Linked DNA regions of Arabidopsis thaliana. The protein of the gene in region 4 interacts with the protein of the main gene of each other region in a pairwise test. Each region holds a gene or a part of one and is shown on either strand. Other genes may lie near its edges.

Evidence for each region.
Region 1: the proteins of RR1 (region 4) and AT1G80440 interact in a two-hybrid assay, tested with the Arabidopsis thaliana proteins (one study listed by BioGRID).
Region 2: the proteins of RR1 (region 4) and AHP4 interact in a two-hybrid assay, tested with the Arabidopsis thaliana proteins (one study listed by BioGRID).
Region 3: the proteins of RR1 (region 4) and AT1G15670 interact in a protein complementation assay, tested with the Arabidopsis thaliana proteins (one study listed by BioGRID).

The regions. Positions count from the first base shown.
Region 1 is NC_003070.9:30,237,300-30,244,901, reverse strand, and holds AT1G80440 (Galactose oxidase/kelch repeat superfamily protein), read right to left. Parts: upstream 3,451-7,602; 5' UTR 3,140-3,450; coding exon 2,075-3,139; 3' UTR 1,726-2,074; downstream 1-1,725. Other genes in the region: AT1G80450 (VQ motif-containing protein), read left to right, coding at 214-747.
Region 2 is NC_003074.8:5,550,752-5,557,869, reverse strand, and holds AHP4 (HPT phosphotransmitter 4), read right to left. Parts: upstream 3,674-7,118; 5' UTR 3,520-3,673; coding exon 3,475-3,519; intron 3,397-3,474; exon of another isoform or gene 3,387-3,396; coding exon of another isoform or gene 3,360-3,386; coding exon 3,229-3,359; intron 3,156-3,228; coding exon 3,087-3,155; intron 2,853-3,086; coding exon 2,781-2,852; intron 2,588-2,780; coding exon 2,515-2,587; coding exon of another isoform or gene 2,503-2,514; exon of another isoform or gene 2,477-2,502; intron 2,400-2,476; coding exon 2,352-2,399; 3' UTR 2,081-2,351; downstream 1-2,080. Other genes in the region: AT3G16370 (GDSL-like Lipase/Acylhydrolase superfamily protein), read right to left, coding at 1-75, 161-394, 488-618, 699-942. UniProt on the Arabidopsis thaliana protein: Functions as a two-component phosphorelay mediator between cytokinin sensor histidine kinases and response regulators (B-type ARRs). Plays an important role in propagating cytokinin signal transduction through the multistep His-to-Asp phosphorelay.
Region 3 is NC_003070.9:5,386,733-5,394,002, reverse strand, and holds AT1G15670 (Galactose oxidase/kelch repeat superfamily protein), read right to left. Parts: upstream 4,052-7,270; 5' UTR 3,885-4,051; coding exon 2,805-3,884; 3' UTR 2,331-2,804; downstream 1-2,330. Other genes in the region: AT1G15680 (F-box family protein), read right to left, coding at 1-596.
Region 4 is NC_003074.8:5,752,339-5,761,503, reverse strand, and holds RR1 (response regulator 1), read right to left. Parts: upstream 5,684-9,165; 5' UTR 5,392-5,683; coding exon 5,205-5,391; intron 5,149-5,204; exon of another isoform or gene 4,790-5,148; intron 4,708-4,789; coding exon 4,555-4,707; intron 4,472-4,554; coding exon 4,031-4,471; intron 3,958-4,030; coding exon 3,881-3,957; intron 3,803-3,880; coding exon 2,657-3,802; coding exon of another isoform or gene 2,651-2,656; exon of another isoform or gene 2,434-2,650; coding exon 2,365-2,433; 3' UTR 2,061-2,364; downstream 1-2,060. Other genes in the region: COBL8 (COBRA-like protein 8 precursor), read left to right, coding at 441-1,861.

The DNA.
Region 1 (7,602 bases), on a different chromosome or scaffold from region 4:
AAGATTCTAGACGTGCAAAGTCAAACAATAATAGCCACTTTGGTTAATTACTAAATTTAATATGTTGGCAAAAAATGTCAATAAAAACACACAAACACACAATAGGGTCTTCTTTAAATATATGTGCAGTAGGCAGACGAATGTCTTTTAGACAAAAACAAAAACAAGCTTCTCTTCTCTCTTCTCTTCTTCTCTTTAGTCATCTCAACCACCATGAGTCACCAGCAGCCGCCGAGCTATGCCACCGAGCCAAACACCATGTTCGTTCAAGCAGACCCCTCTAATTTCCGTAACATCGTCCAAAAGCTCACTGGAGCACCACCCGATATCTCCTCCTCATCCTTCTCCGCCGTCTCAGCCGCACACCAGAAGCTTCCATTAACTCCCAAAAAGCCAGCGTTCAAACTCCACGAACGGCGTCAATCATCAAAGAAAATGGAGCTTAAGGTCAACAACATCACAAACCCTAACGACGCTTTCAGCCATTTCCACCGAGGATTCCTCGTCTCTCCCGTCTCTCACCTAGACCCATTCTGGGCGCGCGTGAGTCCACATTCAGCGCGTGAGGAACACCACGCGCAACCGGACAAGGAAGAGCAAAAAGCCATAGCGGAAAAAGGGTTCTACTTCCTTCCGAGTCCGAGAAGCGGCTCCGAGCCGGCACCGGAGCTTTTGCCCCTGTTTCCTCTTCGTTCTCCTAACGGCACTAATCACCGGATTCATGAAGATAATCATCGAGACTCTTAGTCTTAATTTAGAACGTATAATTTGAGTTTTAGGCTATTTAATCGTAAGTTGGGGACACGTGATATTTGCTGTTGCTTTTTACTATTTTTGTTAGGGCTAGTTAATATCCGTTTTCCATTTAACCTAGACTTTTTTCATCCTTCATTAAACTTTTTCTTCAAGGGTCAACTATTTCGGCGCGTGTACTCCACTTCCTTTTGGAATACAAAAAAATCTTATTCTATACGCGGCAATTACTTACATTAGTCAAGGAAGACATCATTTCACGAGCATATAAATCAATGTCTTTTTAGATCTTTTATCTAACCATTAATACGTGGGATCCAAAACACAAGCTATCTAGTTTCTAAATTTCTTGAAAAAAGATAATATAACCACAATGCTCAATTTTCTTTTGGAAAGTAGTACTTTTTGACAAGTCTACAACGATCAAGCTAGCGTAATCGTCTTCGTATCTTAAATTTTTCCTTACAATAAAGTTGATGATGTGTGTATGGAGATGAATGAAAAGATAGGCTAAATAGGCCGACTTATAATAGATACAAAAATGTGTTGACTTTTTGGTTAAGAAAGAAACTAAAGAAGCTAAATTCTCTGTACAGTTTAACACTGCTCCAATTCAATTGTTTGTGTGTGTCATAAAGCTGCCAGCCGTTGGATTTAATGACAAAGCTGTGACGCAGAACGAAGCGGCGCCTATTTCCTCTGCAGATTCAACGGCTACGATTTAATTCTCCTGCTGAAAATATAATGCACTTTTCTTTTGTATCGATATTAAATAGATGTTACTTGTAACAGAGGGTGTCTCTGCATCTCTCTTTAAAGTCTGTTGTCAGTCTATCTTCGAACTCTGCCCCTCAGGTGTAATCCATATTTCAAACCTCTGCTCTAATCCTAGCCATCCATTTGTCTCAAGTCCCATCCAAAAGCCCATTTAAAGATCAAAAGTTCATCATTCAAAATCTGGTCTATTTGGGCCTCGAGTAAAAAAATTAATAGGACTAGTCTATGAAACCCATTAAAGTTCTTGGATACCAAAATCAAGGCTCCTTTAATAAACTTTAAAAGTTTTGTGTCGACACATGTTTCGAAAGTTTGTTTGCTTGCAATTATATAATTAGATCAGTTTTGTATAGAGAACCTAAAAGTTCAAATCTTCCTTTTGAAGTTTTGTATAGAGAACATAAATATTTGGTAAAGTGACACTGAATAAATACAATATTTCTTTATTTTGTTGTTCATGAAAAGATTTGTAGATTGACACACGAGACTACCCATTGGTTTGTTGCGGTTTAGGTTCAAACTCCAAAGATGAATAGGTTTTCCATTAGACCTCCAAGAAGCAGCCAGCTTGAACATGACCACCGTGTGTTTCCAATTTTACCCATCGTGAGCTACTTAAATCACATATATACCCTACGGTGGCTTCACCGTATCCAGCCAACGCCTTCCCGTTGCCGATCACAATCAGCATCCCGGGCCTCACCGCTACGTAAGTAACATTGTACACATCAGCAGGGATCTGGCCCACCTTTTGCCACTTGTCATTTAGAAACATCATCACATCGCCACCCCAGCACGCGTACAAATCCCCACCGGCGACGCAGGTCGGAGGGCTAACGGTATCGCCGGTGTCGTCGAGGAAGTCCTCCGTAAGTGGACCCCACTCCCACGTAGACACATCGAACGATTCGGCTGTTTTACTAAACTGCCCCTGTTCCTCAGTGGCATATCCACCGATGACGTGGAATCTGCCAGCATGGAATACCGCTTTGCACTCGTCTCGTTCCCGCGCCATATCCGGCAAAAACGTCCACTTGTCTTCTGACACGTCATACACCATAGCTGACGTAAGCGCACATTTCTCTTCGTTGTGTCCACCCGCAACCAGCACCGTCCGATCCGAATCCGAAGCGCATCCGAAGAAGGACCTCCGTACACCTGGCATGGTTGCCCCCACGCGCCATTTGGAAGTGAGAAAACTGAAGACGAATACCGAATCATGGGCCTGCCACGTAATCGGGTCAAGCCCACCCAAGACAATAAGATCGGATCCAACGGAAACCAATCTGCAGAACAGAGGAAGTCCTTTGGTTTGACCAGGAATCGGAGGAAGCTCCGTCCAAAGACCCGACCCGGATTCGAGAACAGAGATCCGGTATTCAGGCGTAGCGATGATCTTTCCGGATCCAGCGGGGTCGACACGAGCCTGAGACAGAATAAGAAGCTCTTGGCTATGGCGTGAAGCTTTTCGCTGATGTAAAAACTGAGAGAGAGAGACTTCACGGTTCCAGGCTCTGCAAACGGAGGCGATGACAGGGAACTGTTGGTAGGAGGAGCGAAGGAGACACTCGCGAGCAACGTCGTCGGGAAGATTGGGGATAAGTTCCATCGAGAAAGTATCAAAGATTGAAGCTTTTTGTTTATCTGTTTGTTGAGAAGTGAAGAAGATTGAAGCTTTACAAGTAGAGTGAGGGATATTGTAATAGTTTTGGTAAAAGATGAAATTTTGGATCGAGACAAGGTTGAAGAAGATGATGATGATGATGGGAAAGAGGAGAGTGTGCCGCTTTATAGATATTTGAAGATAAGTGTTTCTAGAAAACTTGTTGATTCATTCATCGTTTCTTTCTTTTTTTAATATAATTTTTGTGTTGTATATTTTATAGTTTAAATCAAATAAAATGAAGATAACGGAATTTGAGTTAGTATGGGCAAAAACGGTTAATGGTTGTGTCTTGTATTTAAAGATGGAGACTTTGGACCAATTGGGACAAGTTGATGGATGTCATATCCAAGTTCATTTTCTCCTGATATTTTTCTGGTCAGGTTTAGTAATTTAGCATTCGAATTCCAGTCAACAACAGATTATATATCTAAACATAGACGGTAAAATATACTACCGAATATCGAATTAGGCCTTTCGACTAATACTGATTTTAGATTTTGGATGTTGTTTTGACATGTTACTCTGTTTTCTATCTAATGCTATAGAGTATACACTTACTAGTGCGCACAACAAAAAACAGAATAAAATTAATCTATCATTTGTTCGTTTAAGAATAATGAAAAAACTTAAAACCTACACATAAAAGACTGTACTTTTTGAATGGACCTTCTGAATCTATAATTTAGATCACACCCTTTCTTTTTCTCATATACTAAAATATTAATCGGACCACACACACCCTTTTGCTTTGTAAAAATTTAAATCGATCTCCTAATTCCAAACAACAGAACTTGTTTTTTTTTTTTTTGGTTTTATTATAAACAACAGAACTTGTTCTTTTTTTTTGGTTTTATTATAAACAACAGAACTTTGTGGCAACTTGTATACTAAAGTGATGAATATATGTATACTACACATACACGACGGCAAAATATTATTATATGAAGAACGCAAAACTACAAAGATGTTTCCTTCGCATTATGTGGTACATAATCCAAGCACATAATAGCGTTTAAAGATTAATTTATGTTTTATTAAAATGAAATCCAAATCCAGCTCAAAGACTAATGCCTTGGAGTCTTTCCTCTAAAATCCTTCTAGATAATTTCTCTAATTTCACTTGTAGAATTTCCCTTTTTTTTGACAAAAATTTATTTGATTCTTATTTGGCTTGTTGTTGTCTGTATGTGTGTGTCTATCTTTGGTCGGCCATATTTAAATCTGTATTGATACTCGACATCTTTAAACTATTACCGATGACCAAAGTTATATGTTTTTATAAATATAGCTACAATATATACAGATATTTGTCGTAATTATATATGATCTTTATTAAACTTCTTAACGCGTGTGACATAAAGAAACGAAATGTTGTCTCCGTACTCAAAAGCGTATACTCGTTAATCAAAGCATTTTTGCTTACTAATTTAATCTGTAACGTATGGACATTTATGTACAATACTCTATTTTTCGTAGCTGTACAAAATTGAATACGGAATAATACAATATTTAGGGAATTAGTAGCATGTTCCATGCAGGTTGGACTAGTTCTAGTGTCCGCCATATGTATAAAGCTGTAAACATCTTTAACGCATATATTTGGTTTATTAAAACAATAGTTTTGTGATTACTATGACCCATTCATGTATTTGCATATAAATGTAGTAACTTGGAGTTTTGGTTAATTAGACAAAAGATACTCCGATCTAATATTTTTTAAAATAAGCTAATTGAAACTTCAACGTGGGATAAAACGGGCTGACAAAAAAAGGTTCAACATGAAGAAAATAACTCTAACTGATAAAACGGCACGGCGTCTGAATGACTATAACTCTATAAGGTGACAAAACGACACGGTGTCAACATCCTTAAAGGGGGGAAGAAGAGTCGTCGTGATTCGTCGGGTGGCTGGCTCTTTGATAAATCTAAACAATAAACGACGGAAGCAATCCGATTCTTCGTAGATAGGAATAGCCCGAATAGACTGGTACTGGGAGTGTTGGACCCACTTCATCAATGTTCGTGTCGATATTTTCAATTCTCATACTCTTCTTTGGTCGCGTTCAATTATTCAAATCTCTTAACAAGTATTTTCTTCACAAGAAAATTCGCCAAGCAAATTGGAAAAAAACGAAGAACACACGAAATAACTAGCCAAAAGAGTTTAATTACTTCTTTATATATGTGATCGTTATTTATTTGCATTTTACTCGTTTTTTTTTCCAATTATGTCGACACTTGATTAAATTAGAAGCACAAAGCCTCGAAGCAAACCGGCAAAGATAATAACATCTGCCAGAGCTAAGTAATAAGGTTTACAGTTAGATGATCGAGAGAATATGAGCTTTGGCACCGCAGAAAACGCTGGCCAATTACATAGGAAAATGTTCATTTGAAAAGATATATAGCTAAACAGTATATATGTCTCAAAAGATAGTTTGACTCGCCGCATCTTTCTATTAGGCACTCGACGTCTTCATCATATATGCATTATTATTTTGCATATTAATTAATGGTAGGGATCAAATTGTTACGAAGACATGCAATAGATCATTTGGATATTCATGCGGTCGACATCAAATAAAACAGCTCTCGTACATACAGACAGGATAAGCTCATGAAGTTTCCTTTGGTATTTATTTTTACGTCCTTTTCCATATCCATTATGATAGTTATCCGGTAGCTGATGTGGACTTCGTATCTTCTACTGCCAGTAATTGTATTTCTTTTTTTATAAGTGCGCGGAATATCTATTTTCATTCATCCTCATCATCATATACTAACATCAACTTATCTACCTTTTTTTTTTTAAGGGTTTGCTCGAGGTTTCATGTCATTTTTTGGAAATAAATTTTGACAACATGATTTAATGTTGAATGGTAATGAAATAAGAAAATCAAGATGATTCAATACTCTTCGATATATATAAAGTGAGCGAGAGGGAAAGCACAGAGTATGATAAATCAACTGAATTTAGCTAATAAAACACATTTTTTTATATTGATAGCGTCGAACAGACCAACGACAACACAACGGTCAAATTAACATGGCTTAAGTCAAGCGAGGACAGAACGTGCCAAAGCCATTGAATATATTGAATCCTTTTATAAGCATATCTTATTTAGTAACCACGTGAGTCGTGACGATGGCTTATTATTAGTACGTACTACGTAACTTTGAAGAAAAGAAGCCCTGAAATTTCGGAAATGGGTTCAAAAGTCCAAAAACAGTTTGCGGTTAAAGAAGGGTACGTTATTTTTTTTATAACTTTTTTTTCATTTTTTCATCAAAGAAAGGTACGTTAAAGACAAAGTGAAGACGTAGTTTAATTTTGACATGTTTAGACTCATTGATATTCAGAAACTTAGTCCTGGAATTGTGTTGTAGCAAAAACAACAACACAACGAGAGAAAGATAAGATAAAAGCATATATGATGGGTTTGTGTTGCGGATGTTACGAGAATATGAGACATGACACATCATGACATCAATGATATGGACAAGCATACGATATATTTCAGAAGAAATAGGATGTTTCCTCCCCTTGCAAGCTTTAGCTTCTCCAGTGCATTAAGTCTAATTCATCGAGCTCATTGTAGGTATACGAAGGATTTGACTGAGCTAACTTAGGAAAAAAAGATTGAAACGAGGAATGATTTAGTAATGGTAATTTGACCTTGGTTTTGTACTTCTTTTAATTCATAAACCCCCTCCACCGTAAAAATGAAACATTAGAAATCCTAAAAGGGCAGACAAGTTGATGTCCAAAAAAAAAGAAAAAAGGGCAGAAGAGTAAAAACGCGAATGAAAGAGTCAAAGCAAAAAATTGGTAAAAAAAAGCGTGAACGGCAGGATTCGAACCTGCGCGGGCAAAGCCCACATGATTTCTAGTCATGCCCGATAACCACTCCGGCACGTCCACCTTTGCTAGTTGAATCATTTGTTAAATTGAAAACCCGTCATTTTGATCTGATTTTGTACTGTATGTTGACAAATTGAATAGTCTCTGATGATTTCGATCAAAGAGAAGCCACGGGGGGAGCGCTAGCACTTAAAGGTTCCTCGCTTTCTTCTCAAGTTTATAGTCTTCTCCTCTGTGTTGGCTCATTTACATGGGTAGATTTAGTTTTCGAGGGTTTTATGGCGAAGTTCGCGATGTTCTGTTAATTGCAATGTCTTTCTTCTTTTTTTTTTTTTTTTTTTTTTTGGTATTCAATTCCAATTTTCCAGTGTGATTTGATCTGAACTCGAATTCAAATTCAGTGCTACTGAGTTATGTTAAAACCATTGTCCATTGATTTTTTTATGTTGAAATTGAAAAAAGGTTATACCATTCGTTTGTATTAAGATTTGTCTTTCTTAGGGAATGTTTTACATTTTTTGCAGATTTGCACCGTTTTCTCTCT
Region 2 (7,118 bases), 200 kb from region 4:
TCTTGCAGCGGGAAGACATCCTGTTGGAGGCAGAGATGTCACACCGATCTTCCTTGCTCCAACCGCATACACTTGCTGCAACAGTCAATCAAAAACTCAAAATGTCTCATCTTTCTTTTTCTCTATTCAGAACAGAGGATAACCAAGGAAAATTCTTTACCTTGATAAATGTAGAGAAGTTATCGATAAGGAAAGATCCGTATGCATCAACAGTGTAAACTTTGTAAAGCAGAGGATTCACATAGTAGTTTTGAACAAAATCACTGCTTCCTGCACTTAAGAGACAGATTGCTCCCTTTATGATCGAATCAGCTTTTTTGCTTCCTGCAATTTTTATTAGCTTGCTCTTGTATTCCTTGAAATACTCTACTTGCTGATACAACGGGATCGCGTGCTGCCAAAAAAAGAACTAAGATCAGAACCAAAACAAAAAAAAGAAACAGATCAAAGAAGAAATGTATCAGAACAAAGAACCGTCACTACTTACATTGAGAAGAGCAGCTTTGTCATCATAACCTGAAGCTGCAGAAGCGAAATTAGCACCAATGAGAAGATTCTTACCAGAAGCTTCAGGACTTAGATAAGCTGGTGGGTACTTAGTGAAGCCTAAAGTCTCAGCTGTAACAAAAACAAACACAAAGACTTCAGTGTCAAACAAACTTAAAAATATAACTTGAGTAACAAGTAAAACCTTTTACCAGTTATATCAGTGGCTAATTTGCCGTTGCAGAAACGACCGGTGGCTTTGTGGTTAGCGAAATCACGGCCATAAGGAGGATAATCAGCTCTGAAAAGGGTCGGAAGATAGTTGTTGTTGCCGACATCAACTACAGAGTCACCGAATGTCATGATTGCTGGAACAAGTTGAGCAAAGGAGATTTGGAGAATGGACAAGGTAGAGACCAATGTGAGAAGCAAAAACGACGACGTGCAACGATCCATGTTTTTGCTTTGGTATGTGACTATGTGTGAATGGTGAAGATTATATGTACTTTTGAGTTTTATATATACACATAGATAAAGAGGTTAGGAGTTTAGTTTACTTCAATGTTGTGTCAACTCTGAAACTCTATCTCTCTCTCTCTCTCTCTCTCTCTTATTCAATATTTCTCCAACCATTTTTGATTCGTGGAAAAAACTGAACCAGCCTGTGTTTTGCATAATTTGATATTATAGGTAAACTTTATTAAATAAATTTACCTTTCAATGGCGCACATGGATGCTATAAATAGGATCTGGTCTGTGTTTTTAAAGTAAGGAAGATGGAGGTTGTGAGATATAGCTAGGGCTAATAAATGAGAGTGGTTTCACGTCGCTTTGGATAATAATTAAACAATTAATTCTTTCATATGTAATATATATAAGAGATTAAAGAACATCTTATAGAGTATGTAAATATCTCCCTAATATTAGGCTGTTTTCTTTCGGAAGAGAAATTTATTGTTGTGATACTCTCCAGCTCTACGAATCAGCGTTACACTGCCTGTATGAGTGTATGTAGTGTAGACTTTACGTGGAAGAACTTGAAATAAATTTTAGTAAATGCTGGGCCATTGAAAGAAAACGTTTTACTTTATCCACAAACAAACATTTGATTTATTTATTTGCATTGGTGAGTTAGTTTTTTCATGAAATAGAAGGTCTATGTGATATTCTTAAACGACATCGTTTGAAAAATAGGGCATGTAAGAGAAATTAGATGGAAAAGTGTAATATTAATTGTTTATGATAATGTTATTATTTTAGACTTTTAGCTAAGAATAGTTTGCATCTAAGCCATGGCATTCTTTTTTTTTTAATAATTAGTTTTAGTAGAGACAAATAGTAACATAATGATAATGTTATTTTAGACTTTTACCTAAGAATATTTTGGTTTTTTTTTTCTTTTTTAAATATTTATTAATCAGTACTAGTAGAGACAAATATTAACATAATGATATAAAAATAGGTAAGAATATTTAGGATTTGGACACGGTTCCTGGAAACAAACCGAATAATGTAAAGCTTAGTTTCTTTTTTTTTTCCTTTTGTAAACAAGGTAATGCATTCATCATAGAATCGAAAAAATGCATTTTTTTGGTCCACTCTTTTCTGTATTCCGTTATTAGAGGAAGCCATATGTTACGAGGTAATCGTAGCTATAAAACTCCCAAGGGAAAATTTGGCGATATAAGGGGAAAAACATAGAGACATTTGGACCGTTTATTAACGGACATAATATAAAAGTCCAAAACCTTCTTTATAACGTACATCGAAATATATAAAAATAAAGAGGAACTATTTATTATATAGTTTTGCTACAAAATTCGACGACGATTCCTCATTTATCTCTGTCTCTCTCTCTTTCTCTCTTACTTGGGCCTACGTGCTGTCTCCTTAGGCCCCGCCTGCCTTGCCAACTGTTCATTACAAAAAATTTCACTTCAGCAAATACTATATCAAAAGTGATTGATGATAACTTCTAATCACATTCTAATTATGTAAATTATTAAGCATAATTGATTATTGGCTCGCCTGGAAATAATGTTCAAGCTTCTTTCTCAACGTTGAGTGTTCTTTCTTCAGTTGCTGGAAAGTCCTCAAGCATCTGCAAGTAAGAAAAAGCGAAGAAAACTAATTAGGGGGTCGAAAATGAAGTAAAGTAAAAGTTCAAGGTTCAGCGGATTAATTGCAGCAATTTTAGCCATCTAAACTATACTTATTTTCATTTTGACCCCGTTACTTAGTTTTCTGTTAAAAACGAGAAGCATGAAGGTATATAAGTATAAAGACGAAAGTACCCTTCCGCATTTCCAGCTCTGCAGTATTCCCTAAACGTAGTGCATTCAGCTTTCACTTTACTTGCCCCAATGCTACAAAAAAAAGAAATGCAACATTTGTCAGTATAACTAACGATCATAAAATCTAATTATTTCTGGTTAAAGTAGATTCTGTCATTGAATCCTGAATGAGAATGGAAGTAATTTTAATGTACTTTTGCGTTACATTCTTTTATCTTATAAACATTTAAGTATTCGCATTTCTTTAAGTAAAATTATTTCTTGAAGGCGTAATTAGAATAGTCAAAAACTAAGGGGGGAAATTACCTCGTGCTGCTTCCCTTAAACTGATGCATGTAACTATCCAGCCGATTGAAATCAAATGATCCTCTTTCCCTGCATTGTAAAAATGATTAGAAAACTGAAAAAAAAAAAATATATATATAATAGAAAACAAAATAATACTCACAAAGCTTGGTCAATGTTATTGATTAACCGAGCTGAATCTTTGAAGTATAATGCGGAAACTTCTTCAACAAAATTAGGGTTTGCATCATCTTGGAGCTCTTCTAACTCCATGAATTGTTCGTCGAGATATCCCTGCATGCATTTTCCTATATTAGTCATTTTCTAAATTATATGAAGAAATTCATATATAAGTGGTACGACGTACGAAGTTATATTACGAAAATACGAAGAAACAAACGACCAAAACCTGATCAAAGAGGGACTGCTTGATGAGTGCCACTTGCCTCTGCATGTTTGTTTAAATTTTGAGAATAGATTTAACTATAAGTGCGAAAAATCAAAGTGATAATTCGTTTTTATCTTAGGTAATTCGAGTGGCAATGCAATACTGAAACGTTGGACATCTGAGATATATATAGTGAAATATAGAATAAATAAATAGATCGTATTACATCAAAAAAGAGAAAGTAGAAAAGAGAAGAGAATATTTGTAAAATGATGGGAACCTGCAACGTAAGGGCATGAATGCTGTATTCTACTCCAGACATAAAAAGAAAACGTGTATTCGTTATTATCAGCTTATTTCGATGACACATAGATGTATACTCAGTATAATTTTCTATAACTTCTCTATAAAATATATGTATAACACAAATGGTAGGTGTTATCAAATGATCATATATGTGTGTTGATATATAAGTTTGAATGTATAGTAATCTTTTATATATATAAGATAGTGTTTATGTTAAAGTTTTGAATAAGAGATTTCAATTAGAGAATTCCTCAATGTTGATTGTTTAATTAATAGTATGGTCCATTATGAAACTTAAACTACTGTGGATGATTGATCTATTGCCCAAAAATATAACTGAAATGCATCTTAATTAATAAGTAATCAAAGGATCTCACGAATGGGAATACGACTAATATTATATATATACGTACATCATAGAAACATGTAAAATTTCGAATATAGAACCTAAAAGCTAAACGTTGATACTATACGAAACACACCTTTGGAAATGAGGCAAATATATACTAGTAAAATGTATGTGGACACGAATTTTCCTGAAAGTGAAAAAGAAAGTTATAGATTGAAAAAGTATACAGTTCAAGAAAAATATTCTGAACAGACCATTTCCGTCTTGATTAATTACTGAATTTAATTCATGTTTTCACAAAGTTTTCTATAATATCATTGTCTTTTCTTTTTTCTTTTTTTTTTTGTTATTTTTAAGGTTGTGATTTCCTGATTTTAATGGTACCAATTACGTACACCCACAACATTCAACTATATATGTACATATGAATTTACGAAATGGGCAAAAAAAAGTTGTACTTTTGGAAGAAAAAATTGTTGGAATCTAGCACACTAGCAAACACTATTATTGCTTATCTTTTGTTTCAACAACAGAAAGCAATACTAATTCGAAGTATTTTAGTTTGGGGTCCGGAATTCAATTACTAAGTAAGGATTATATCTTGTGATAAACATTAAACGACATTTTTATATTAAAAACATAGTCAAGGTTAGTATCATGATCAAGACCAGAAATAAATAGATTTCTATTGGGGTTTTCTGTTTGATGTGTTTTCTTTCTCTTTGACCGCTGCAACAAACATTGAAAAATTAGATGCAAATCTTTTCCAAGTTTCTTCCATTAATGTGTGGAGGTGAGAGGGTGTTGTGTGCCAAGGAAAGGCTAGTACTTGTGCGGATGCGTGTGTTTCCTACTTCTATATTGTAACAAAAAAAGAAAGAAGTAGGAAACCAAAAAGAGAGAGAGAGAGAATAAGGTATACATATATCCAACGAGTAAAAAATAAACCATAAATTTCTGTTATTGGAAACAAGGAACAAGTATCTAAAAAGGAAAAACTGAAGAGCACATAACAAGTGTGATCTAAATGATTGACACAAAGACATAAAAGATCTTTTTATCATTACAGCATAATTTGTTCCTTTCTATATCTCTTTCTCTCTCAGACAAGCATCGTGAGATCGAATTACAGAAGAGAGAGAGATTGATCATATACAAAAAAAAATCAGCTTTATTTATTCCTCCGCCCACCAAACCAATCTCACATAAAGGACTTGTCTACTACATATTTTCGGTGGAAGTGGGTTTAGAATCTAAGTTTTATTATTGCTTGCTGTCTCATCTCGATTATTCTCCTTAATTCCGACCTCCCCTCTAATAACAAATATGTAATACCACAAAATTAGAAGAAACAAAACAATTCATTCCAAAACTTGTGAGGTTGGTTTTACATGATAAACCCCAATTTTGTATTTAAATCAAATGTTATTATGTTTACCTTTTAGTATTATACAAGATAAAATTCTAATAAAAGAGGACAAAATTCATGACATTTATCTAAATTTTGTTGTATATGTGTTACACAATCCAATTATTCCTTTATATATATATGTGATCTTAATTTTATAAAAGAAAATTATTTTTTGTTCTTATGATCTTTTGTATATTTCTAAGCTTTAAGGCTATATATAGTCTTAACTCTTAATTATTATGAACTCGTAACTATCATCTCTGCCTCTGGTACAAATGACTAATTAATTCGAAGGGAGAAAATATGTAGAGATTTAGTTTTCATATATTATTAGGAAATTGCTAGACTATAGGCTAGTTTGTAATATAACTTATATTCATATTCAAGACAAAATCAGTCTTGTAATACTTTAGAAGGCTAGCTTGTTCCACTATTAATTCCTATGATTGGAAGATTAATACATGTTTAGAGAAAGTTTATTTTTAAATGATAGATATTCTTCGGAAAGTTATCTTGAGATTTTTTGTTGGATATACATGATGCCAGAATTTGTGCTACTAAAGTTATTAGAAGTAGCTATTAGCACCTAATTGAACTAAGTATTTCGTATAAAGGGCACAATGTTGACTGGTTCGTGATTGAAGATGACTCCTTAAAAGTTCAAATGTCGACACACAAACAGATTTTTAATTCTTTTAATTGTGTTGATTACTCAATTAAAAACATTCTTCTCAACTATTAATATAAATTCAATAATATCCAATTATTTGAAAGATGTAACTTCAATCATCTATCACCCGTTAAATAAAGTATATGCTAAACAAATTTATTTTTATCCTCTATCACTTTCGTGAATAATTACACCTCCGCGATATTATGAACATGATTCCTCCCAATCCGAAAAAGCTATAATCCTAAACAAATTGTTAAATAACAAATAAATCGGCCGATAACGACTAATCATAATCATAAAAGTAAAATAAAAATATAGACCCGAGTTTTACATTAAATCATAGGGAACCGTCTTCCGACATATCATGTTAATATACAATTTCATTTACTCATCCCAACTAGAAAATACTATCAAGTTTTGAGTAGTTGTCGTGGTTGAGAGTTGAAACAGAACAATAGCAATAATTCTTTTGAGTATAAATGTGATTGGTACAAACATAATGGTCATTGTGAAGAATTTTGAATTCGTGTTTGTTAGTTGTTACAGATGAGGCTGCACAACCATGGAAAACAAATTCCACTACTATTTGACAAACAAAACTGGTGACAAGAGACCATCATAAAGACGTTTGACCATTTTATTAAAGGGTTTGAAACATATTAAAAGATTAAGTGATGAATCCTTTTAGGAATACCATTTTGGCATTGTTCTTATAACTCATTGGGAAACTTTATATCATTTGAGTGTGGTTAGAACTCTAAGCTATCATAGCTGGCTTACTTAGATTACGTTAGTGAGTATTCAAGATAGATTAGACCCTTATCATCCCTAAAGACTACGTACGTCCATGCCTTTACCTTTACAGATAGAGATAAAATGTCCATAGAACTCCATATACTCCCGATTATAATCATCGTTTAGTCTCC
Region 3 (7,270 bases), on a different chromosome or scaffold from region 4:
AGTGACGAATATATCTCCAAGATAAGGGACTCAACTTCCCAACGGTAATCAATATCCATACAAACCACCTTATACTCCATAACGACACCGTCTTCTACTCGGGTGACTAGACCTATCGCCAAAACTGATGAACTGATCCCTTTCCAAGGGTGAGGTGGGAGCTGAACCCACTGCCGTAACACCGGGCTACCCACACTGAACGTCTCTCTTTTCGTTACGGTTTGAAGCAAAACCAATCCGTCCGTGCAGGCTACGATCTTATGTTTATCCACCAAGCCATGAGGCGGGATGTATGAACCTAGCCTACGGGGAAGACCATATCTCTTGCATCCGTAGAACCCCGCCATTTCCTCGACTGACCAACCAAATGTCCCGCACACGAGTGACCACGACGATGAAGAGTTTCGGTGAGCAAACACAAATAGATGACGGAAATACGTTGATTCTATTAATGATCTCCATCCTTTGCACACGGACTTGAACCTCGTTATACTTATAAAAGGTAATCTCGCCACTATCTCTGCCAATAATTCCTCTGGAAGCTCTATTCTACGCTTGCAACCACTCTTCATCCAGTTTACTTCTCGATTCTCCATCAGGATATATCTTTTTCTCTCTATTTACTGTTTCATCATGACAAAACTCAATTTGTTAATTTTATTTATTATAAGCTTATTTTGTTAGGGTTTCATCCGGATCTCTAGGATGATAATTTTTTAGGGTTTCATAACGACAAAACTCAATTATTATCTTTAGTTTTTTTTATAAAAAAAAATCTTTGTTAGGATAATCTACTCGGGTAAATGTATATATTTTTCCAACTTTCTGATAAATTTCGATTTCTTTAGTTTCGCATGTTAAAGATACATCTTGAAGAGCAAATCTGAATAACTTGACGAGGAAGACAGAAGCCCTAAAAATTAGAGATGAACTAAAGCCACAAGCCCACAACTTATTGGTTATTTATAGTTGCGTCGTTGTGATGAGGAAAGAAAATTAGAGATGAACTAAGACTTTGCTGGTTTGGTTTTCTTAGTGTTTTTTAAAAAACTAATATTTTGGAATATTGGGCTTGGCTTAGCTTAGCCCATGTTTCCAAAAAATTTATAACCCGAGTCTTCAAATACGCTCTATCTCGGCAACTGCACTTTGGGATTCTTTCGAGATTGTTGGCGAAATGACACGAATGTTAAATTTTCAATTCTAACACGAAATGGGACTAACATAACGTATCGACACTCTTGTCCTTGTAAGCTTCGTTAGATCAATAGAGTAAGTGTACTTTAGTTGGGCTTATTAGGACTAACATTAAATTGTAAAGTATAAAGGGTTGCCTGAATTTTCAACCCTATAGTAGTTGGAATCTCAATTTTCCACCATAAACTTTTAGCCACTTGAAAAATTACTATAAACAATTTTAATCTCGATAAAACTACATGTACTTTCGGATTTGTTCTTAAAACTACACCTCCAATTGAACCGACCAGTTAACCGATAATTATACATCCGGTTTGACTTACCCGAAATTTAACCGAACTTAATTCGATTTCGACTCTATTTTAACCCAATTTAGACCCAAAAAATATATTCTCTAGAAGAAAAATACTTTATTTATTTTTATTTATTTTTGATAAAAACTTAAAAATTAATTAATTAATTTTACCAAAATAATAAAATAACAAATATACCACACAAAATTATATAATAAAATTTTAGTATATATTTTGGTAATAAAAAAATATACCGCAAAATAATATAACAAAATAGACAATAAATTCTTTTTATAAATAAAATGGTGTTATATATATAAATGTATTTGGTATATACTCTAAATTTAATAATTCAAAGGACATTTTCTTTTTAAAAACACCATAACCATATATATATATATAACTCATCTTGAATATATAAAAAGAAAACTGAATCTATAAAGAAAAATGAATTTATAAATACCATAATATATACTTTGATTGTGGTGTTTACGGATATATATAAAAATTAATTTGGCATATATTTTGAATTTCATTACATATATAAAGTTCAAAGGTCATATATTATGATTTCAAGAAAAATGAATATTTTGTTTAAAAAAAAGACATAGCTTTAAATTTATAAAAAAATATAAATGATTGCCAAAAAGAAAATGTATATGCTTGTATATTATCAAAATTCTATAACAAAATGTAGCTCAAAATATAATTTGAGGTATATTTTGTCATATTAATTTTCGCTAAAATTAAGTTATAACTTAATATTTTTAATTTTTTATCACAAATAAAAATTAATAAAAACACTTTTACTTCTTAATAAGGCAATTTATTTACATTTAGGTCAAAATTAGGCTAAAATAGAGTTAAATCGAATTAATTTCGGTTAAATTATGGATAAGTCAAACCAGATGTATAATTAACGGTTAACTGGTCGGTTCAATTGGAGGCGTAGTTTTAAGAACAAATCCGAAAGTACATATAGTTTTATCGAGATTAAAATTGTTTATGGTGGTTTTTCAAGTGGCTAAAAGTTTAAGTAGGAAAGTTGAGATTCCAAATAGTACATGGCTGAAAATTTAGGCAACCCAAATATAAAATCTACCACTAACTTTAGTAACATCACACAACAACTTAAAAAATAAGATTAAAAACTATAAAATCACTCGACAATAATTTTTTTACATTCAAGCTAACAAATTTATCTATAACAATATAATATTTATACAGTCACACTTGACAAAATCAACCGACCAAATTTACCGTCATTTCGCAAGGACGACGTACAAAAGATTCGGAACCTTTTCTAAAGTTTTTTTATATCTCCAAGAAGCAACCAGCTTGAACGTGGCCTTCATATTTATCATGTGTTTCCAGTTTTAACCATCGAGAATTGCTCATATCCCAATTATACCCTACACTTGGTTCGCCGTACCGAGCCGAACCGATCACAACCAGGTTTCCAGACCTCCTTATCGCCACGTAAGATACATTGCACACGTCAGCAGGTAGATTCCCAACTTTATACCACGTGTCATCTTTCATCATCATCAGATCACGGCGACAACAAGCATATAAATCTCCGTTTTCACCGGCAGCACAAATCGGAGGCCACATAGTCATCTCCGAAGAGAGAAACTCTTCTCCTTGTGGACTCCACCGCCATGTGGTGACGTCGAACGATTCAGCAGTTTTACTAAATTGCCCTTGTTCCTCCGTGGAGTAACCACCGATGACATGGAATTTGCCAGCGTGGAAAATAGCTGTGCATTCGTCTCGCTCACGGCCCATATCCGGCAAGAAAGCCCATCTGTCTTCTGCCACGTCATACACCAGAGCTGACATCATCGCGTTCTTGTCTTCGTCGTGTCCTCCAGCCACAAAGACGTTCCGTTGAGAATCCGAAGCGCAGGCAAAGAAGGAACGCGGTCCACCTGGCATGCTCTTCCCGACGCGCCACGTGGAGGTCAAGAAGCTGAAAACGAAGACCGAATCAGAGGTACGCCATGTAACCGGGTCAAGCCCGCACAATACAACAAGATCCGACCCGACAGAGACTAATCTGCAGAACAGAGGCAACCCGTTGGAATGACCTGGAACCGGAGGCAGCTCGCTCCTTAGACCGGTACCAAGTTCAAGAACCGAGATTCGGTACACGGGGGTGGGGATGGTTTTATTACCCGATACGAGTTCTTTAACCGGGTCGACCCGAGCTTGAGACAAGACAACAAGCTCTTGACTATGTCCTGAAGCTTTCCGGTGTCGGAAAAAATCAGAGAGGCTGATTTCTCGCTGCCAGAGTTTGCAAACAGAGGCCATAAGAGGGAATTGCTTGTAGGAGGAGCGTAGGAGACACTCGTAGGCTACAGTTTCGGGAAGATCAGGAATAAGCTCCATCTTTTTAGAAAGTTTCAAGATTTGAAGTTCTTGATTTAGAAAAAATGAAAATGTTCAGGTTGAGAGAGATATGAATGAGGTGATGAGAGAAGACAGAAGAGTGTGGCTACTTTATAGAGGGATAAGTCTTCTAGAACAATAAAAAAGGAAAGTGTATTTTCAATTGGTAAAAATATCATTTAAATCAGCACTAGTTTACCATTTTTGTTGGTTTTAGAACATGAACTTTTGACCTAGTGATTTAAATCCTTAATTTTATATTGATTTTCAATTTAATTACGAACTCTCGTTGACTAATCCAGTTAATACACATTATTAGAAATTTTCCAAACCACAAACCCTAGATCTCTAAAATCGATTTCAAATTTTTCTACCTTTTTATACGGATTTTCTCCTCTACTTCGGATTTTCTATTTTTTTCGAATTCGAAGTAATCTCTCGTGTCTAAATCAATTGATGGCGCTGAAAAAAAAAATCAGTATCTCAATTGGTTTAGTCAAGAAAAATTAATGATTTAATTGGAAATCAACATAATCCTAAGTATAAAGTTTATAATTTAAATCAAAAAAAATAGTAAACTGGTGATATTTTTTTCCATTTTAAATTATAGAGATATGTATTTATTTTATTAACCTATTTACGATTCCAACAAGAGATAATTGGTTAAGAAGACTAGAAAAGTAAAAGTTTTGACTTTTCGTCAATAGGAAAAGTTCAATGTTGTTTGAATTCTTTTGCTTTTAAGACATTTTGTTTTTCGATGTATACATGAATTTCTTCTATAAACGTAACTTTGATAGGAGAAGTTAACAGAAGTCCGGAGAGAGTACCGTTCGGTTAATGGGATTAATGTGCGGGTTTTGGTTTATATGATGGAGACGGTGTACCAATTGGGACATGTTGAATGATGTGATGGTCATTGGATTTCTAGATCTAAGACCAGTTTTGCAAGCAATCAAGTTAGCTAAATCAAAGTCTTGTTAATTAATCTATTTTCGACTATCTATTTTGTTTATTAAAAAATCGTTCTTTATGTCTTTCTTTTTTTGGTTATATCGTAGACTAAATGTGTACTGACACGAAAATGACATCTATCGGATTATATGTTGGATAAATAATTAATTCATATTTCACCGTTTCACGTTAAGCATCGTAATTTTTACGGGTTACTTTACGAATGAAGGAAAAGTTATCTATGTGACTAATAGCTAGTAATATTAAGATGCTCGACGTGGAATTAACGTTACCTTTTTGCCGTAATTATTGAAGTGTACATGTATAAATAATTAGTGAATCTTCAAGTAACGTATTAATGAAGCTGTTCTACCACGTTGTAGAGACAGATTATATAAAAATAGTAGTATTAAATTAGCCCGAGTAGTGGATATAAAAAAAAAATGAATAATGCATGTAGGGATCTAAATCTATGCTATATTCCAACATTTTTTAAAATATATATAAACAAAGTCAAGAGTATTGTATAGTTAAAATATTCGAAATATACAAAGGTCCATGTGATCCCATGTGCGGTAATGTTCACGAAGACATGTTAACCAATAGCCAACCAAACGATTATTATATTCTAATACTATAGCCTATCGTATTATACACGGATAAAATTAATGGTTGAGTTATTCAAATAGTTGGGACTTGGGAGTTAAAGACTGGTTAGTTTAAACCAAAGCGTCTAGAGACGATGTTTCGATGGTTTGAAACGTTGCTATGTAGATTGCAGTTAACGACGAATCGCACCATCTGTTTTTTTTTTTTTTATCACATAAGTACCTTTTTTGGTCACTTTTTATAAGGTCTTAAAAATGGTTGCATAATTTGTTAAAGATATGAAAGTACAAACTTGGTTCTAAATTCACCAGATCATTAAGAAAATGATAATTGGCACAAGTGGCCCAACGCACAAGACGATAAGACGAAACCATAGGAGGTAAAGCGACTTTAAAAGAGGCAACACCTTGTCACTTTCACTGACTTCGTTGTTTTGTTACATTCATGTATGTCAAATTAGACATTTAAAACAATATAGTAGATACTAAGCTAACCATTTGTTCGAAGTACGCATAATTAATTCAAAGGTGCATATTGTATATATTTATTTCCGTTTTATAATATCAATGTGTTTATTCTATCAGCATGAGATTGTTCTAAGACAACTGTCATATTTTAAACATCTTTCTAATCAATTTGATATTTTAGTTTCATTTGATTCCATGTGAACGGCTTATCCAAAAAGTGACCAGTGTACTATACAATACTCATAATTAACAATTCAATATTGTTTAAGCGCAAAAGAAAACGTGAAAAAGGAATTAGAAAAGAAACAGCCTAAAAATTGAAAACTTCAATATTTGTGGTTCCTTCCATCCTCTTATTTTAATTTTTTTTTTGTGTATCCTTTCTCTATTGTTTGTCGGCCATTGAATAATTGTATTAGAGAGATTGGCTAAACCATCCAGAAGAACAACGATTTTTATTAAAGCTTGTTAGTTTCATACAAATACAATATTATCATAGCAAAATATTAATGATCGTATATGTATTATATTAACAAGAATGACGTATCCAATCCTAAGTTTGTCCCCTCCGAAATTATAATAGTTTCTGTAAAGTTGACTTAAATATACTATATACGAAGATAATTTTTCTGGTTGCCAATCAACCTATGGCAGTTAAATGACATGTTAAAAGAATCAATACTAGATGAGACCAACGAGTGAAACGGTATGTCTACATTACAATCGACATAAATAGCTCTAAAGACAAGTGAATCACGTCACTCCCTAAGTAGATTTCAGAAAACATCTACCATTAGGCCCTTATCCGAATGTCGACAATCTCATTTTTCGGACCGATCATCTCTTTTGCCAAACATTTTTTGAGCATGCATAACGTACCATGCGCGGGTTTATTAAGCCATCCTTTACTCTCTATGGTAGGAGTCAAAACATGGTTCTAACCATAAACTTTTTATTTTTTGATAAGAAAATGACAAACAAAAAACATGAAATGATACTATTACAAAGTTTGGGAAACTGCATGTCCCATGCAACTTGGACTCGTTCTAGGGTCCACAACATCCCCAAATCCAGATCGTGTCATTTACGCAACTGATATCTTTATTTCCATTCAAATGAAATAATATAGGAAAACAAATTGGATTGTCCACTCTCCAAATTCCCATTTCTAAACCAATCTTGAAAATTTGGTATAGCCTAAAAAACGTTTTTCACCACTAAACCAAACCATTGAGACTCACAAGTCACAAGTCGCGCAACAGTTTCACAATTCCCATTACTTTTCATATATTTTGATTTGTAAGCATGTAGGCATATAACTCTTGGAGTAGTCAGATCAAACAAAGGAAAGCAAAA
Region 4 (9,165 bases):
ATTTCTCGTTTAATTGTTCATAATTTTTTTAATGAATTGTTGCAATTTTAAATATTATGTGATCTTGGGTTGCTTATGAAGGCATTACCAAGAGTTTTAAAAGTCGAGCAATATGATCACATTGACCAGGTCTATTTGTGATCAATAGAGTGGTTGAAAAATTCTATTGTTTATATAGATTTCTTGTAAACTAAAAGTTTGAACTAGTCTTATTAGCAATTGAGATTAGACCTTAAGTTTACTTAGGAAACTATCTCATGCTTGGCTTTTCTGATAAATGTGTGGAATATCTGATTAAACATTTTGGAATTTAAGCTGTTCAGTTTGCATATTTGTTTTTCTTTTACTTCTTGATCATAATAAGACTCTTATTGCTGCGAGCATAAATGTTTCCTTTGTGTTTCACTGACATTTCTTTTCTTCTCTATGGCTTTTTCCAGGTAGTAATGTTCTGCAAGTATGTTGCACACCGAATCCGAACATTACAACAAGCAAAATTGGTCAAAAGTTCCTTCCTAGGCAAGAAGGAGATCTAACCATAATGTACGATGTGACCAGAGCATATCAGTCGAGTTACTCAGCGCAGGTCACTATCGAGAATCATAACCTGCTTGGTCGGCTTGACAATTGGGATCTAAGTTTTATGTGGATGAAAGATGAGTTTCTCTTCTCAACCAAAGGAGCTTATCCAAGTGTTGTCGATTCGTCGGATTGCATCACTGGTCCTCAAGCAAAATACTATAAAGATCTTGACTTCTCTAATGTCATGAGCTGTGCAAGAAGGCCACACATCATAGACCTACCCCTGACTAAGTATAACGATACCAATGTCGGGCGTATCCCATACTGCTGCAGAAATGGAACTATTCTGCCACGGTCCATGGATCCAGAGAAGTCTAAATCGGTTTTTCAAATAGAAGTTTACAAAATGCCTCCTGATCTCAACATCTCCTCTATAACACCTCCCCAGAGCTGGCAGATTAAAGGTAACCTTAACCCGGATTACAAATGTGGCCCTCCTCTTCGTGTCAGCTCAAGCCAGTTCCCTGATACAAGCGGTTTGCCTTCAAACAAGAGTGCATTTGCTAGCTGGCAAGTCGTCTGCAACATCACTCAACCAACTCCTCCTAAATGCTGCGTCTCATTCTCTTCTTATTTCAATGACTCAGTAATCCCGTGTAAGACCTGCGCTTGTGGAGGTTGCTCTAGCGACAGAGTGGCGCGTACTTGCAGCACAACTTCTCCAGCTCTTCCTCTTCCATATCAGGCTCTTCTAATTCCATTTGACAACCGAACCAAACTTACCAACGCTTGGGCAGTGTTAAAAAACCGGAAAGTCCCGGACCCATTACCTTGTGGAGATAACTGTGGAGTCAGCATAAACTGGCACCTAGCTACAGACTATCGAGGCGGATGGACTGCTCGAGTCACACTCTTCAACTGGGGTGATACTGATTTCGTGGATTGGTTTACCGCGGTTGAACTGAGAAATGCTGCACCCGGTTTTCAGAAAGCGTACTCGTTTAACGGAAGTATCATCGCGGTCAACGGGAAGAACACAACTGTTTTAATGGAAGGGCTCCCTGGACTGAACTATCTCCTTGCAGAGAAAGACGGAAAAAACCCGAGTGAAGACTTTCGGATACCCGGGAAACAGCAGTCGGTTATCTCCTTCACCAAGAAACTGACTCCTGGAATCAAAGTTGGTTCCAAAGATGGGTTTCCCACCAAAGTACTCTTCAACGGCCAGGAATGTTCACTCCCTTCTGTACTACCCACGAGCAACAGTCACAGGAAACATGTATCCACCTTTCTTCTCATCCTGACACCATTTTTGGCTCTACTGTTTCTTCGGATTTAAAAGTTCCAGTGAAGGACTTTCCTCATTAGCCAGAAAATATACAGTTTTCTTGATTCTTTCTAACCAGATTTGATGCAGAATTACTTCTACTACTAGTGGTGCTTTGTGCACCGTGTGATTCTTGAATTTCGTATGATCAGATTTTAGTAATCAGTATGTATACATACAAATATTGAACAGACAAATCCCTTTGTGTTTTGATCTTGAATTGCTTTGATTTCACGTTGTGGCGTTGTACTAAATTAAGTTTGTTCGAATTATTCTAAGCATTTACTCGAAATACATACTTACAAAACCCTAAACAGCCTCACTACATAAATGAGGAACAAAAGAATCTCCAAGGATATTAACCCCTAACATGAATAATTATTTCTTATATAATCTGCCATTTAAAATTTCATGCAGACTACATATATATCAAACAAGTTTTAGTAGATCGTCGTGTAAAAATGATACAGTACAGATCCGGGTAGTCCCTCCGGTTTATCGGTTTTTTTATCCAATCAAACCGGAATGTTATCGATGGAGTATGCGTCAAAGTCGAATTCGCCATCAACCGGTGCAATCCCTTCCTGTATATCAATAATTCAAGATTGTGTTTTTCAACTTTTTTGGTTCACTGATTTTTTTTGTTATTTAGTTGTAATTTGCATTATTATGAAAAAGACATGCGACCAATGGTGAGAAAGCGTCTGAGAGTTGTTATATATTTGATTTTGAACGCAAACATGTACGTTGACGGATCAGATTATGCTTCTATATAAGTTTGACAAAAAAAAAAAAATCAAATCAAACCTGCTTAAGAAGTGCGCTCATAAGATCTTCTTGATTACTATACTGCTCGTGAAACGCCATTGTTGCTGTATCCGTAGCCACTCTCTCTGATTTCACCCTCACTGAACCACCGTTTCCGTCTGCATAAACCTGATGGTGCTGTACCATTCCCGATGGTGGCTGCTGGTGGTTTCGGCCATGCTCGGTGGCTGCAACTGTCGTGTTGTGTCTTGACATGGACGAAGAAGAGTAGGCTTCTGAAGCGGAAAACGCAGCGGATTCTGAGTCCTGATGTGAGTCAAAGGCTATTCCAATATTCCTCAGATCCCAATCATTCTGTCTGGTGGTGAACATGTCGTAGCTCGGCGTAGTGAAACCCGCTTCGGAGCTGTTAACCTCTTCCTGGTAAGAAGTGGCTTTCCGAACCGGTACTGATATCCCTGGTGCACTTGCCAGCGGGAAACTGTTCACGGGAAGTTCTGGTTGGAAGTTGTTATAAGGCATCGAGCTTGATGAGTGTTGTGTTGTGAGATTAGTGTAACTTGTCGGTAACACTCTGCTGCTCTCGGGGATATTGTTCCTTCCAGAGAAACCACTTCTCTCGGAAATGCGGTTTGATAACATCGGCTGCCTGATGGATGATTGCGAAGAGGTTAGCATAGGCGGTGGTCCCCGAGGCAAAGACTGCTGACCCGCTAGAGGCATCAGCATTCCGTTGTTTTGAACACTATTTCCAGCTCGAACAGCAGCAATCTGTTGTTGAATACTCATTCGATTACCCATAGGAAGCTGCTGTTGTAAACCCGTGGGGACACCGTGAAGTAAGTTCATCTGTGGTTGCTGTTGGGGTTGTTGCCCGTGATGCCCAAGCCCTTCTCCAAATCTTGTTTTCGTGTTGTCAAAGCTGAAGATGCTTCTCTCATCCACAATGGAGGAAACCGGCAAACCTGACTTAGAGACCATCGCAGGCCGGCCTAAACCAGCGGCTTGAAGCTGTGCAAGACTCTGTGCAGGTAACTGACCTGTGACGGCTAGTGCTTGAAGATCAAACCCATTCAATGTCGAAAGAGGTCCGAAGCTCGCATCCTGACCCGTCATAAACGAGTTGTTAAGATTGCCTTGGTGCTGCGATACCCCTCCAAGCCGTCTTAGATATATCCGGTATTTCTGCAAGTCCACATAAAGCCGCTAAGAACATCTAAGCATTTCAATGGCTCATTTTGGTATCCAGTATAAGATTTATACCTGGAGGTGACTTGCTACGTTTTCTCGGGTTAGACCAGGAACATTCATCAGCTCTAAGATCTTTTTAGGAACCGCCTCTGCGCCATAGAAGATCATTTAGACCCTGAGCATAACAATCACAAATGCAAATGTAAGAAGTTTTAGTCTTACTCTCAACGCCGAGCTGATTAACAGCAGCAACAAACTGCTGATGCAATTCAACAGACCAGACGACACGCGGTTTCTTCAAATTCGACGCATCTTCGTCCTTATCATCTCCTTGCTCTTCTCCTTCCTCGTCTTTCCTCTTCCGTGAACTGCTCCTCCAATTGTTACCTTCGTTAACCGAGGATGAGTTATCATCCACCGCATCCTCTCCACCAGAAACAGCTGCACCACCACCACCTCCTCTATGTTGCTGCTGCTGTCTCTCGCCAGTCTCCTCAATGCTCCCAGAATGTTCCGGTACACTCCATTCACTTCTCCTCTTCCTAACTACATGCTGCCATATGTTCTTAAGTGCCTCCATACGTACAGGCTTGATAAGGTAATCAACCGCACCGTGCGTTACTCCCTTTAGAACCACACTCTTTGAATCATCCGCAGACATCACTAGTTAAACGAATACAAGATCAATAATCTATAAAAAAAGATTCAAACTTAGATGAGATTTGAGGGAGTAAAAAGAACGTTACTGATAACAGGTAAGTCCATCTCTAGACCAACATGCTCAAGAAGCTTGAAACCGTCCATGTCAGGCATATGAACATCACTGATTACTATATCGAATCCATGTTTGTTCTTCCGGAGCAGAGACAATGCCATCTCTGCTCTGTTGCATTTCGTTACTGCATGTCATAACAACCAAAATGTTTCATATCTTCAAAGATAAAAGAAAAAAACAGAGATTTGAATTCTGACAACAAGGACCTCATGAATTGACATTTAACCAAAACTCAAGTCAAAGATCAAAGACTCAAGATTTGAATCCATTTGAAACCTCCCCTAACTTATTATATACAATGGATCTACATGTGAATCTATCAGTAGATCAAAATGGTGTGATCTAAATGAAGAAGCTCGAGATTAATATGTGAATCTTAAAAAGTAACCAAAATGGTTTCTATTAAAGGGGGAGCAAAGTTAGTCAACCACCGATATGAAAACCATAATTATTCCTCAAAATAACATAATTTTCGAGAATGGACCACAAATAAACCCATCATTGGAGCAAGAGACCATGAACTCTCTTTCTCTCTCTCTCTCTCTCTCTCTCGTGAGATTAAACGAACAAAAAAAAAAAAAAAAAAATGAAAAGAGAAGATCTTGGTTTTTGGATACGAACCTTCGTAAAGACAAGTCCTAAGCATCCTCTCTAAGATCATGAGACAAGTTGGGTCATCGTCAACGACAAGAACTCGAAGACCAGAAGGAAACATCTCGACGACGGTCTCACCACCACCTCCTTGATTTCTACCGGAGCTGGACCCACCAGCCGATCCGAGTCCTCTTCCGTGACTCGGATTCATCATACCTCTCTCTATGTAGCTCGAACCCAAGAAACAAAAAAAGAAAAGCAGAAAAGAATATATACCCAGAAAGAAAGAGGGGAAATTGACGCGAGTTTTATTCGATTTAAAATTGAATATTATGAGAGAATACGAAATTGTTGGAGATAGAAGTGAATCTCTTCTGGGTAACCAAAAAAAAGAAGAAGAGAGAGATGGTGAGATGAGACTTAGGGAGTTGAAGAAGACAAGGCTTGTCTCACCTTAGAGCTCTTTTTCTCTGTTTTTTTATTTATTCACAGAGTAAAGCTCTCTTAATTTTTCCTATTCAATTTTTGTAACATTTAGATGCAGAAGAAAAAAAAAATGTGGTTTTTATATACTCAGTCATATATATTTTTTATTTACATATATGTAGAAGCTGACATGTCCTTTATTTTCATCATTCTCTCTACATTTAGACTATTGGTTTTATTAAATTTCATTTAGATCCACTCTCTTTTTTATTCTCAATTTCTTACAAGTTAGTTTTGTATATTATATGTACTATTGTTCTATATTCTGTTTTATTTTTCTATTTAGAAGAACATTTTGGATGTTGCTTTGAGCTCAAATTCTGGGTTATTTTGTGAAGTAGTGAAATATAGGGGTTGAATCATCAATGAAAGAAATATAGGGTAAGGAAATTTATATAATTGGGAAGAAAGTGGGACCAAAGACCCTTGATTCGTGGATCCAGCTCATGCATGAAAAAATTAATTAACTCGTCATATGTAAAGTTTGCAAACTCAAACCTTAATAGATTTTCATTAGTATTATTGTTGTTAGTTTCCTAATTTTTTGTTTTAATTTCCATTTTCTACCAATTTCGAATAGGAATTTGCCTTAAACAAAAGAGCAGCTGCATATATATATAAAAAATTCTTAGTTTTGATATGCCTATAATTTATTTACTAAACTACCCTTTGAATTTATGTAATTGAGAAACAATGCCTCCTGTCTATTGGACCTACATGTATTAAATTAAACGGCAAAATAAAAATATAATCATATCATTAAATTAAACAAAATAATACGTCTACGCACATTCAAGCATATGATTAAGGTACCAAAATACACCTAAGCATTTCCCATCATCACCTACATCTTTAGCTAAGATATAGTACATATACTTTTATCAACAAAAAAAAACCAGATATATGATGTATACATAACATAAGATTACTCGATGCCTTTTTTGGTGCAAATTAAACATATAACCTTCCAAATTTTTTAGTATGTATTTATTTCAAGTCGTGTGTAACTATGATTAGTAAGAATATAACTTATATAGTATACTTTTCATGTTTTAATCAAAAACAACTTGTAGTTCTAGGAAATAAATTGTATTAAATGGAAAATAGAAAAAAATTGTACGTTTGATTGTTGAAAACATATATATATATATATATATATATATATATGTATGTATAATTACAAGTTTACAACAACAGTAGTCAGTATATGGTGCAAAAAAAAACATGTGCGCTTCTTCTCTTAAAACGTTGGATACTAAATAAACAAAGAAATAATGCAAATGGTTCATCTGAATGATTAGTAACATCATATGCTACCCACCAATCGCCCTATTCCCCCGAAAGTATATTTTTAATAATGTATAGGATAACAAATCATATTTGACTATTCGATTGCTCTACGACATATTTATAAACACATACAAACCAGTAACTTATTTATAAATGTGTAAATTTGTCAACTTCAATGTAAACTATATCTAAGTTATCCAAGTTCAGTGTATACTTTGCTTAAATAGTTGTTTAGCACCGCCGACATGTCTTATCTTTTTCAAATTAACGATAGTTTTAAGTGTGACATACGACTTGTTTCATATGTGCATCGATACCTAATTTCTTACATTAATCAATGTTATCAAGTAAAATTCACTACTTGTAGTATTTAGAAGGAAAACTCAACAATACGAATATTAAATCAATTAAGTATTTCTTTAATTTTTATGAACTATCAACTATAGTGTATTTTCTTTTGGAAATACTGTACATGTGTATATTTCGAAGAATAAAATGAAAACATTTAATGATAAGAAAAAAACAAATAAATCACGTTGCTGAGAAGCTTTCCCTATTGCGACACGTGTCCACATGAAATGGATAAGATCACTCGAACCATTTGCATCGACCTCTCCATCTATCGTTGTCTTCATTTGTTAAATTTTCCCTATTTCAACAATCATTTTAAAAACATTAATAGAAATAAAAAAAACGAAACTATTCAACATTCCAACTTGTAATTGTTATCGTCAATAGCCACTTATTACCACGAGAGCTTGAATTTGAGTTTAAGAAAGATATACTCATAATTTCATGTTTAGTAGCTTTTTTTTCTAATAGCTTTCTTTACTTTTCCTTACATACGATATAAAACGTAAAAACAAAAAATTGATGATTAATATAACATAAATTTAACTGCGCCAAAAGCTATAATATAGAGAAGGTCCCAAGAAAGTAACCCGCTGAAACCGTATATTCTCTGTAAAAAGTTTTTACTCTTACGATGAGCTTTTTGAGTTTTTAATTTATATTTTTCACTTTATTGTGCTTAGACAGACATGAATTACAGATCCTCCTATTTTATTTATATTTCAAGTACCAACTATAGGTCCATGTCACCAAAAAAGGTTTTGTAGAACACAAATGTTTCAGCTTTTTATGCAGAACCAACAACTTTAATATGACTAACATTTGCACACCTATGGAGCGTTATATTAACATTAAGTGAGTAAGCTACTGAAAACTTGTTGAAGTTCTTGATGGAAAATGCACTCAGCAAATTGGATAATCAAAATACTTAGATCCAAAACATACAAATGCGTTAAAACAAAAGTATAACTTGATATGCTCATATACGAAGGACCATTTTATCCAAAATTCTCGAATGTGAATATTTCAGAATCGATTGCATGTGATGAAGACAAATTTTCATATTTTGCATTGGAAGTATCTGTTTAAGCAACTAAATGGTATAATGGAGTTTTTTTTTTCTTTTTCTAGATAATGCTTTAAGGTCAAATATTAATTCACGCGGGCCAATAGAATATTGGTTCTTTTTCGTCCTAATTATTAATCCATATGGATTTTGAAAAGTAAATTTGTATAACCAAATTTAATTAACGCCTGCCAATAGAAATGTGGAGTTATGTACATAACTTATATATTCATCTACTTGATGGGTGTCCTATCATGTGCCCATAACTTTTGGTAGGAAGTTGTAACTTGTATTACTAAACACCAATAGTTAGAAACTGAACAACTTTTTTCATTTATTTCAAACTAATCGTTTTGCAAGTGTTGTATACACTGAGTTACAATGAAAAAATTACAATAAAAAAACAAACAAAATCACACTAAAATAATAATGAACGTTACATTGATGCAATGATTTAGAGTATAAATTGGATTTGATAAGCCTTACATAGGAGTTAAAATGTGAAATTTTATATTAATTACACTAAACATCTGGGGAAAAAATATAGCCCGATGACAGAACCATTCCTAAAACTCTTTTTGTTGTTTGTTAACTAATGTTTTAGATTTCTACTAATTATCGTTATGTCAAACAGACAACTATATGTCTATTCAGTTAAAAAAGAGAACTGTTGAGTTTGAGTGTAAGCAAAAGAATAGAGTGGGAGAACAATGGGGTCGACGGCTAAAAAGATGAGCCACGTGTCAGTTCAGGAGAAGAAAAGAGTATGGCAGCCATAGTGTTACGACGAACTAA